Cricetulus griseus: one gene and its partners. The protein of the gene in region 1 interacts with the protein of each later gene in a pairwise test. Links are inferred from orthologs where the notes say so. Each region holds a gene or a part of one and is shown in the gene's direction. Other genes may lie near its edges. The genes, in order: Fsd2, Spatc1l and Cchcr1.

Region 1 (3,654 bases):
GCCACTGTGCTGCAGACTCAGTACTGCTGAGAGTGCACTAGAGCCGGCAGGTGGTGGCGCACGCCTTTAGTCCCAGCGCTCAGGAGGCAGAGGCAGGCGGATCTCTGTGAGTTCAAGACCAGCCTGGTCTACAAGAGCTAGTTCCAGGACAGCCTCCAAAGCCACAGGGAAACCATGTCTTGACCTGCCCCCCCACAAAAAGAAAGAAAGAAAGAAAAATAGTGCACCAGAAAAACCTAACTAAGGCATTGAAGGGGCTCCTGCACCATCAAAGAAAGCCTTTGCTCTCTATAGATGAAGGACCAAGCCCCAGAGAACTCAGGTTGGCTGAGAAAGTGCTAGAACTCAAGACTTCTTTTCATGCCCCAGAGGCTGACCTGCTGGATCTGGGTGCCCTACATATTTCTTATATCACTGTTTTTGTTTTTTTTTTTTTTTCTTTCCAGTTTTGTGTTTTGAAATAGAGTCTTACTCTGTAGCTCAGGCTAATCTGTAATGCAAGCTGACCTGGAACTCAAGGTGATCCTCCTGCCTCAGTCTCTCCAGAGCTGGGCATTACAGGTGTGAGCCATTACACCTGGTTTAGGTTTTTTTTTTTTTTTTATGACATTCTCGAGAATTCCAAGTAGCCACAGCCACCTCCCTGCCCCTGCTGTCAGACCAAGCACTTCCCCAGTTAGAAACCACCTGAGTTGAGTCTCCACCATTCAGCCTCTCCCTGCCTCCATGCTCTGTCTATCCACACTGGGTGCTGACATCCCTCCTCATCTGCTTTCATCATGTCAGAGAACTGGCATGTCCCATGTCCAAGTCCTGAGTGAGCAGAGACCTTATTAGAAACATCCACACCCCATCACGCCCTCCCCCGGCAGTACTACAGGTCTGCAACTGAGCTTTACTGAGGCCTCCTTAAGCTGCACAGAGTAATCCAGTTCAAGCCAGCTGAGTGGGTGGCCTTCAGGTGAGCAGCAGAAACAGAGAGCCTAGTCAGTGTTTGGGAACAAATTTCCTTTGACTGAGATCTTTTCACTGAAACACACTGTGCTTCTTTGTTCCCATTTGCATTGGCAGGAGAGGTCTGTGAGCAACCCACATTCATATTCCCGCCACATAGATGGGAAAACCAAGTTGGGTGTCTTGAAATAACAGATACTTGCTCTAAACAAACAAGCAATGACACGGAGGGCAAAGGCACAGCCAGCTTTATTTCCTTTTTTTTGAAACAGCAAAGGATTGAACCTTGGCACACACTCAGCACACAAGAGGCTGAGGCAGGAGGACTGCTACAAGTTCAAAGCCAGTTTGTGTAACAGAATGGTTTCAGATGAGCCTGAGCTGCAGTATGAGACCCTGTCTAAAAAAAGTAAAAACAACAACAACAAATCCAAACAAATTCCCTCAATTTTGTTTTCTTTGTCAAGGTTAGAAATTATTTTATTTATTTATTTACTTACTTATTTATTATGTATACAGTGTTCACCCTGCACCCCAGAAGAGGGCAGCAGATCTCATTATAGATGGTTGTGAGCCCCCATGTGGTTGCTGGGAATTGAACTCAGGACCTCTGGAAGAGCAGCCAGTGCTCTTAACATCTGAGCCAGCCCAAGGTTAGAAATTCTTACTCAGGTATCAACACAGCCTGCAAATTAAAAACCTGGTCTCTGGAATCAGAGAGGCGAGAAGTTCAATCTGAGCTCTATCATTTGCCAGCCTATTTCTTAACCACTTGTGCCTCAGTTTCCTTATCTACAAAATGAAGACAGTGACACCTGTGCCTAGGCACAGCCCTAAGGACTAAGAGAGACAAGATGTGCAAACTGCAAGGCACTGAGCGCTCAAGTGCGGCCACACCCACTCACAGGTTGTCCATGACTGCCAGGAACAGGCTTCTGTGCACCCGTCTGGACCCTGTGCTTGGTACCGCCACTAGGCCATGCTGGGGAAATCCCACAATGACTGATTGGGGCTTCTAGAAATCTCCTCCCTCCACAGGAAGCTACTTCCAGCTGAACAAGGACAGCTGCCATCCCTGGCTGACCATTTCTGAAGATGGCTTTACAGTGGTTCGAGGTGAGAAGAAAACTTTCAGAAGGGAGCTGCCACCCACCAAGACCCAGTTTACCAGGTATCTGACTGGACACCTGATGGAGCATTCGGGAACTTACCTAGTGCCACTGTTATTTAGAGGAAGTTGACCAAGACTGTGGTGGCCTCTGCAGAGGGAGGTCCCAGGCTGTGGAAACTATGGGATATGGCCAGGATATCAGGTCACATAGCATAGGGACAGAAACCAGGCTCTGAACACTTCCCCTGTTGAAGTGAAGGGTTCCCCTTAGGTCAGTGGGTCTGTGAGTCAGGAACCCCTTTGGGGGGTGGCTGAATGACTTTTCACAGGGGTCACCTAAGACCACCCTGAATATTGTATGTTTACATTATGATTCATAATAGTAGCAAAAGTTGCAGTTATGAAGTAGCAACGAAAATAATTTTATGTTTGGGGGTGACAGCGTCAGGAAGGTTGAGAACCACTGCTTTAGGCCTTCATAGTCCTGGAAGTTCATTTGGCAAAGCAACACATGCACTGCAGACCTGGAGGGAACAGACCATGCATGGCGGGCTCTTTTGTAGCTTCTTAATGAGTTTCATGAATATTTATTAGGCAGGCACCAGGTGACCCTTTCCCTCCCAAATCGGATCTCCTTTTTAGAGCATTTCTTCCGAGCCTTTAGAACAGCCAAGAGGAGTCAAAAGCACAATGCAAGTGATGCACAATGTCAGGTTTTCTAAGGACGCAGCCCCTTCCTGAGTGCATGTGTGGCAGTTGGGGAAGTATCCTGGGTCTTTAGTTTCTGGTATAGCAGTCAGAAATAACTGCAGCTTGCCTCTCCTCTGTTTATGCCCTCCCCCCATCACTCTCACATTGGGGTGCTTTAGACCAAAGTGGTGGAGTGGGCCAGTTCTAAAGTGGGTGCAGAAAATTCTTTGGACTTATACAAGACCTGAGGACAGATGCTACCGGAAGGCTGTCTGTCTGTCCAGTTTGCTTGTTCCTTCTAGAGCTCAGTTCATTTTGTTGAACTATTTACCTATATTGTCTTCTTTCTCCAAGGATATATAAAAGGCTTAAAATAGGGGCTACTATATAATAGGGAGAAAAAACATCAAAGCAACATAAGGAAGCGGGCAGATTAACTCCCAAAGATGAATCAATATCCAGGCTTTAAACAGTAGCAAACGGCCTCTCTACTTCCAGGTGGTCAAAAGTGAGAGTTCAGAGGACCTGCTGGGGAAGACAGGGGCTCTCCCATTGTCAGCAGCAGTGGGAGACACAGATCCTCACTGCCAGCTTTACCAGTACGAGAAGCCCAGATCACAGATGATTTCAGGATGAGGCAGTATTAGATAAAGCTGGAGTTTACTAAGAGAAGCCTTTCCTGTAGGGCAAGCATGGGTGAAGAGGCAGGCAAAGAAGGTTTAAGAAAAGGACAGTTGTCCATACTCAGGGAGGCGCAGGTGCTCTCAATCGAGTCTTGCTTAAGTGGGTTTTCAACTTATTTTGAGAAAGAATATCCTGTGGATGTGGAATACCTTAAATGTCTCATCTTCATGACCCTGTTTCCCAAGCACTGGGAGTACAGGTGTATGCCACCATAC
Region 2 (3,654 bases), on another chromosome or scaffold:
GAGGTACCAGCCTCTGTGTCTCATTGTTGCTAACCACTATCAGAGACTGACAAACCTCATGCTATCTGACCAGGTCCCAAGGCTATGAGAGAGGGGTCTAGTTCTGTACTTTCACACGTGAAACACAGTTTCCCAGAACTATGTGTTGAAGAGACTCTTTTCCCAGGGTTTTTAGAGTTTTGTTTATTGGCCTACTTTGGTTTTCTGCCTCTTACGGAGCCATTTTACATCCGTTTGCAAGAGAAGCTCTCCTGTCAACATTTCTAGTGGTGTACTGCTGTCCATAAGTGTTTTCAGTGCTGTGAGGAGTGTCTGGGTAGAGGCCAGGAGGCCCTCAAGGACCAATGGGTCTTAGAAGGGCAGACAGGAGGTCTAGCATCTTGTTGGCAAGTTGTTGTTGTTCTTTTAACTTCTTTTTTCTTAGAAAATACTTTTGGGACAAAGCAGTTGGTTCCTGCATGTGTACATTTTGAGATGGGATGTTTTCTCAAGTACACTTGCTTTCTTGTTAAGAGAACAAGCTCTGGGAGATAAGACTCCCCAAGTCAAAGAACAGATTGATGAGGGCTGTGGAAAACAAGGGCAGTCAAAATGCACACGGCTGAGCTCAGGCGTGGCCACAGAAGGGCTCACTGAGAGTGAGGAGGTACATCCAGAGAGGCTGACCACAGCTTCCCTCTTTGTTCTTTTCAAGCACTGACCTTTGAACTCAGAGCCTAGCCCAGCTAAGCAAGTGCCCTACCACTGAGCCACCACCCCTAACCACAACTTTGCTTTTGTGATGAAAAGGGGTGAAAAGTCATTGGGAGTGCCTATGGGCCAGGAAACAGAGGAAGCTGGGGGTTCACAAGTGGCAGGATATGGATAAATATCAAAAATTTATGTTGCAGGAAAACTTATAGGATGATACCATTTGCGATGAATTTAAAAAGCACATAGGCATCACTGCAGTGAGTGTGGTTGTGAGCACATCATGGCCCATGTGCTTACTGTTGAGCTCACGGGACAGGGCTTCCTCCATCACCAGGTGAAGTGGCTAAGAAGGGCCCAGAACTCTGGGTTGGGAGCAATAGTTTCATCCACGTCTCTTTGTGCTTCCAATCATGTCCTGGTACCTCCTGGCTGACTTATTGTTGTTTTCTTCTCCACCCCAGCTCCAGATTTTGGACGGTTTGCCAGTGTCCCTGACACACCCTCTCAGCTACAGATATCTTCCTTGGAGGACCTGCTATGCTCACATGCCCCACTCTCCAGTGAGGACGAGGCCTCCCCAGGCTGTGCATCCACCTCTCAGGTGCCTTTCAAGGCCTTCCTCACTCCTGCAGAACTACATGCAAGAATTGCCGACAGAAAGATGTCCCCACTCCTGAGTCCCTTGCAGGATTCCCTGGCTGACAAAACCCTACTTGAACCCAGGGATATCGTGCGGCCTAAGAAGGTGTGCTTCTCGGAGAGTAACCTGCCCACTGGGGATAGGAGCAGGAGGACCTATTACCTCAATGGTATGGTGCACACAGGTGGCCCTGGGTGGGAAAACCATGTTTAGGAGACATAGCTGTGGCTAGCTTCTCCAGTGGTGCAGAGGAGAGGAGAGCCAGGGAGGGCCAGGGGCCAGGGTTATGTCTATCCTGGTCTTTTGGAAAAAACAGAGTCACTTATCCTCATATTTTTTTTTTCAAAATCTGTTTATGTAATTCCAGATATAAGTCCTTTTTTTTGGGCTTATGTTTCCTATGTATTGCCTCCCAGTCTGTGTGTTTTCCACTGTTTACTGTTTCACTGGGGGAAGGATGAAACTATTGAACATAGTCAAGTTGACCTTCCTGATACTTTTCTTTTGTATTTTGTACTGTCTGTGTCCAATTTAGAAAGTCTATGTTAAATCCAAGGTTACAGATTATCTTTATTCTTTTGGAAGTTATAAAGCTTTAGGTCTCTCACTAGTTACAAGGTTTTTGTTTTTTTTTTTTCATCAGTGGTATGAGGTTTGCATGCAGATGCTACTTCCCAACACCAACACTTGGAAAGATGGCTCTTCCCCAGGAACTACCCCAGCATTTTGTCAAAAACTGATCCTCTTCCTGCATGAGTCTATTTTTGGACTTTTATGTGGTGCAATACATCCATCTGTGTAGATCCACTAGATGTTTGTGGCTTCGTGTAAAACCACAAATCAAGTTGTTCGGGCTGTTCTAGTTCCTTCGTGTCTCTTTAGAGTCACTTTAGAATCAGAATGACCATTTTTGCAAAAGAAAGTCTGATGAGATCTTGACTGGAATGGTCTTGGATCTATAGGCCAATTATATTGATCTTTTTTTTTAGACAAATGGCACCTTTGAGAAAATGACATATTTAATTTTTATTTCTTTATTTTAATTGTTTTTGAAATTAAAATATAATTGTATGATTTTTCCTTTCTCTTTGCTCAGCCCTCCCATGTACCCATTCTCTCAAATTCATTATGGCTTCTTTTTCTTTAGTTGTTGATGTGTGTTTGTGTGTGTGTGTGTGTGTGTGTGTGTGTGTGTGTGTGTGTGTGTGTGTATTCCTAAATATATGAACACAACCTGTTCATTCTGTGAAGTTTTCTGTTCCACCTGGTCCCACTGTTCTTCAGTCTCAAATAAACACACAGAGGCCTATAGTAATTATAAACTGCTTGGCTGATAGCTTAGACTTCTTATTAGCTAGCTTTCTTTCTCTCTTTTTTAAAAAGATTTATTTACTTATTTATCATGTATATAGTGCATGCCAGAAGAGGGCACCAGATCACATTACAGATGGTTGTGAGCCACCATGTGGTTGCTGGGAATTGAACTCAGAACCTCTGGAAGAACAGTCAGTGCTCTTATCCCCTGAGCCATCTCTCCAGCCCCAGCTAGCTTTCTCTTAATTATTGACCCATTTCTATTAATCTAAGTATTTCCATACGGTCTTGTCTTACCGGAGAATGCCCAGACCTGTTACTCCTTCAACAGCTACATGGTGTCTCCCTATTGGCTCTCTCTCTCTCTGCCTTTTTCTTCCCAGCATTTTCCTTGCCTGGTAGCCCCACCTATACTCCCTTCCTGGCTACTGGACAATCAGCATTTTATTAAACCAATAAGAAAAACATATATTCATAGCATACAGGAATCCCCCATCATCTCCTCTTTTCTGCCTAAAGAAAAAGAAAGCTTTAACTTTAACAGTTCTGTATAATTTTACTTGACTTTTCTATTTGCCAACCTCAGTTCTCAAGATCTGTGGGATTTAATAACCATGCAAATTCTTATAATGAATCCCTCTGTAAACACACACACACACACACACACACACACCACACCAGACACATACATACATACCACACACACACACACACACACACACACACACACACACACACACACACATACATACATACACACACACACACACACACACACACACACACACACACACACACACACACAGACACAACATACACACCACACACACACACACACACACACACACACACACACACCACACCAGACACATACATACATACCACACACACACACACACACACACACACCCAATGGTTCTGTTTCTTTGGAGAACATTGATGAATATAATTTGTGTTCCAAAAATTTACCAAACTGGTAACTGTTTTGATAGATTCCTTCTGTTTCT
Region 3 (2,917 bases), on another chromosome or scaffold:
GGAGAGGCAGATCGCTGAGTTCGAGGCCAACCTGGTCTACACAGTGAGTTCCAGGGTAACCAGAGCTGTGGATGTATTTATTTTATTTTGTGTGTAGGAGTGTTTTGACCGTGTGTATGTATGTGTACTGTGTGCTCATGGAAGTCAGAATGTGTTGGCCACCCTGGAACTGGAGTAACAAACGGTTATGAGCCATCACACCCATCTCGAGGGTAGAGGGAATTGAACTCAGGTCCTCTGCAAAAGCAACCAGTGCCTCATAACCGCCGAGCCAGTGTCTCTAGCCCCACTTCAGAGATTCTGCCGGTCTCCTTGATTCTCCTTCAAACCCGGCGTTCCGCGCGGCTTTGGCTCTCGACTTGCCTGCCCAGCTCCCTCTGCTCTTCCAGGTAGCAGAGCTCCAGGAACAAGTGATGGCCCAGAGCCAGGAGCAGGCCATCTTGCAGCAAGCCCTGCAAGACAAAGCGGCGGAGCTGGAGGTGGAGCGCATGAGCATCAAGGTGTGGGCCGGAGAGAGAGAGACTGGAGGGAGGGTGAGGGAGACCCTGGGCGCTGCCGCGGGTCTGTGAGCCGGAGAGAGAGAGAGACTGGAGGGAGGGTGAGGGAGACCCTGGGCGCTGCCGCGGGTCTGTGAGCTGGAGAGAGAGAGAGACTGGAGGGAGGGTGAGGGAGACCCTGGGCGCTGCCGCGGGTCTGTGAGCTGGAGAGAGAGAGAGACTGGAGGGAGGGTGAGGGAGACCCTGGGGCTGCCGCGGGTCTGTGGGCCAGACAACAGGGAGGAGGCTTAAGAGAAAACACGAACACAAAACGGCATCCTCCCAGACCCTGCAAATGGAGCTGAATCGGGCTCAGGAGGCCAGGCGGCGGCAGAAGCAGCGGACAGACTCTGTCGAGGAGCAGCTGAAGTTCGTGGTCAGCGCCATGAAAAGGTATCTCTCAGGGCGGCAAAGCTTCCCAAGCCTCTGGGACCCTGAGGAGCCTCAGGCCTCAGGCGGGAGGGAGCATCTCTGCCTGGCAGTGTCTCCCGCTGTGAATTTAACCTGTCTGGAGCTGGGGAATCCTGCTTCCTGCAGTTCCGTCGGGTAGCCTTTGAAGCTAAGTAGGGCAGCTAGGTGGAGCCCGGGCTTCACAGCTCAGTGATAGGACATGGAGGGTCCAAACCTCCCCCGTCCCTTCCTCCTTTCCTGTGCTCTTACACCCTGTTTAGTTTGGAAAGCATCTAAATTGTACAGTCTATAGCACAGTGGAGCACTTGCCTGGCATTCAGGAATCCCTGGCTTCCATCCCTAGCACTTGAAGAGAAAGAAAAAAGAAAAAAAAGATGAAACTTTAGCCGGGCGTTGGTGGCGCACACCTTTAATCCCAGCACTTGGGAGGCAGAGGCAGGTGGATCTCTGTGAGTTCGAGACCAGCCTGGTGTACAAGAGCTAGTTCTAGGACAGGCTCTAAAGCCACAGAGAAACCCTGTCTCGAAAAACAAAAAGCAAACAAAAAAAAAAAGATGAAACTTTAAAACCCACAGAGAATCAGACTAGATTCAAAGAGCCACTGCCCTGATTCAAAGCATTGCACGCACCTCCTGCCCCCAGGGGGACTACTGGACCAGGCTGGTCTCAGACTCAAGAGATCCTCATGCCTCTGCCCTGAGCACTGGGATTAAAGGAGTGCGCCACCACCGCCTGGCTTCAGCTGGATGTTTTTATCTGGCAGGCATTTTTAAAGATCTGCTAAGGAGGGGCTGGAGAGATGGCTCAGAGGTTAAGAGCACTGACTGCTCTTCCAGAGGTCCTGAGTTCAATTCCCAGCAACCACATGGTGGCTCACAACCATCCGTTATGAGATCTGGTGCCCTCTTCTGGTGTGCAGATATACATGGAAGCAGAATGTTGTATACATAATTAATAAATAAAATCTTAAAAAAAAAAAAGATCTGCTAAGGAGCTTGGTTGACTTGCAAGATCCACTAAGGTCTTGTCCCTCCTGGTGGCTTTTGTTCCCCCTTTTTCTTGTTGCTTTACAGCCCACCTCCCCACTCATGTAACAGGATAGGACAAGCGTGTCCTGTGCATACACCCTGTGGGTCCTTCAGAGGTGAGGGGAGGGTGGAAGGTGAGTGACCTGTGTCTTTACAGCACTCAGGACAGCATCCATGGCACCATGACCAGGCTGAACCAGACTGTAGCCCGGATTCCCAGCCTCAGCAACCGACTCAGCTATGCCATCCGGAAGGTCCACACCATTAAGGGTGTGTGTCGCAGCTGTCCCACTGGCCTGTGCTCCTGCTGTCCTTCTGTCTGTCCCCACTGGCCTGGCCCCCTGCCTCTCAGCCCTAGATCTAACCTCATCTATCCTCTGTTGTCTTGGTAACGATCACTCTGCCCTGTGCTCTTGCTGTCCTTCTGTCTGTCTGTCACTGCCCTGTGCTCCAGCTGTCCTTCTGTCTGTCTGTCCGTCACTGATCTGTGCTCCTGCTGTCTTTCTGTCTGTCTGTCACTGCCCTGTGTTCCAGCTGTCCTTCTGTCTGTCACTGCCCTGTGCTTCAGCTGTCTTTCTGTCTGTCTGTCATTGGCCTGTGCTCCTGCTGTCCTTCTGTCTGTGTATACCCATCTTCCTGTCCTTTGCCTTTCCTCCTCAGGTTTGATGGCTCGAAAAGTGTCCCTTGCTCAGCTGCGCCTGCAAAGGTGAAGTTCAGGCACACAGAGGTGGAGGGTGTGTGGACATTGAGGGCAATCCGGTATTGGTGGCCAGGACGCAGAGAGGACCATGGAGGGATGGAGGCGCCGCTCAGGTGGCTGCTGAGGGAATTTCCTCTGACTCCTTTGTCATTTCTGTCCCAGCTGTCCCCCGCCCCCACCCGCACCCCCAGTGGATGCCGACCTGAGCCTTGAGTTGGAGCACCTTCGGGAAGAACGGAACC

What was found.
Region 2: the proteins of Fsd2 (region 1) and Spatc1l interact in binary tests that used the Homo sapiens proteins (3 or more experiments, as listed by UniProt). The two-hybrid records come from large-scale screens. The link is inferred for Cricetulus griseus from reciprocal best matches to the Homo sapiens genes FSD2 and SPATC1L.
Region 3: the proteins of Fsd2 (region 1) and Cchcr1 interact in binary tests that used the Homo sapiens proteins (3 or more experiments, as listed by UniProt). The link is inferred for Cricetulus griseus from reciprocal best matches to the Homo sapiens genes FSD2 and CCHCR1.

The regions. Positions count from the first base shown.
Region 1 is NC_048596.1:115,996,075-115,999,728, forward strand, and holds part of Fsd2 (fibronectin type III and SPRY domain-containing protein 2), read left to right. Parts: intron 1-1,992; coding exon 1,993-2,125; intron 2,126-3,654.
Region 2 is NW_023276806.1:262,165,999-262,169,652, reverse strand, and holds part of Spatc1l (speriolin-like protein), read left to right. Parts: intron 1-1,154; coding exon 1,155-1,502; intron 1,503-3,654.
Region 3 is NW_023276806.1:229,467,935-229,470,851, forward strand, and holds part of Cchcr1 (coiled-coil alpha-helical rod protein 1), read left to right. Parts: intron 1-389; coding exon 390-500; intron 501-822; coding exon 823-929; intron 930-2,132; coding exon 2,133-2,245; intron 2,246-2,635; coding exon 2,636-2,681; intron 2,682-2,837; coding exon 2,838-2,917. UniProt on the Homo sapiens protein: May be a regulator of keratinocyte proliferation or differentiation.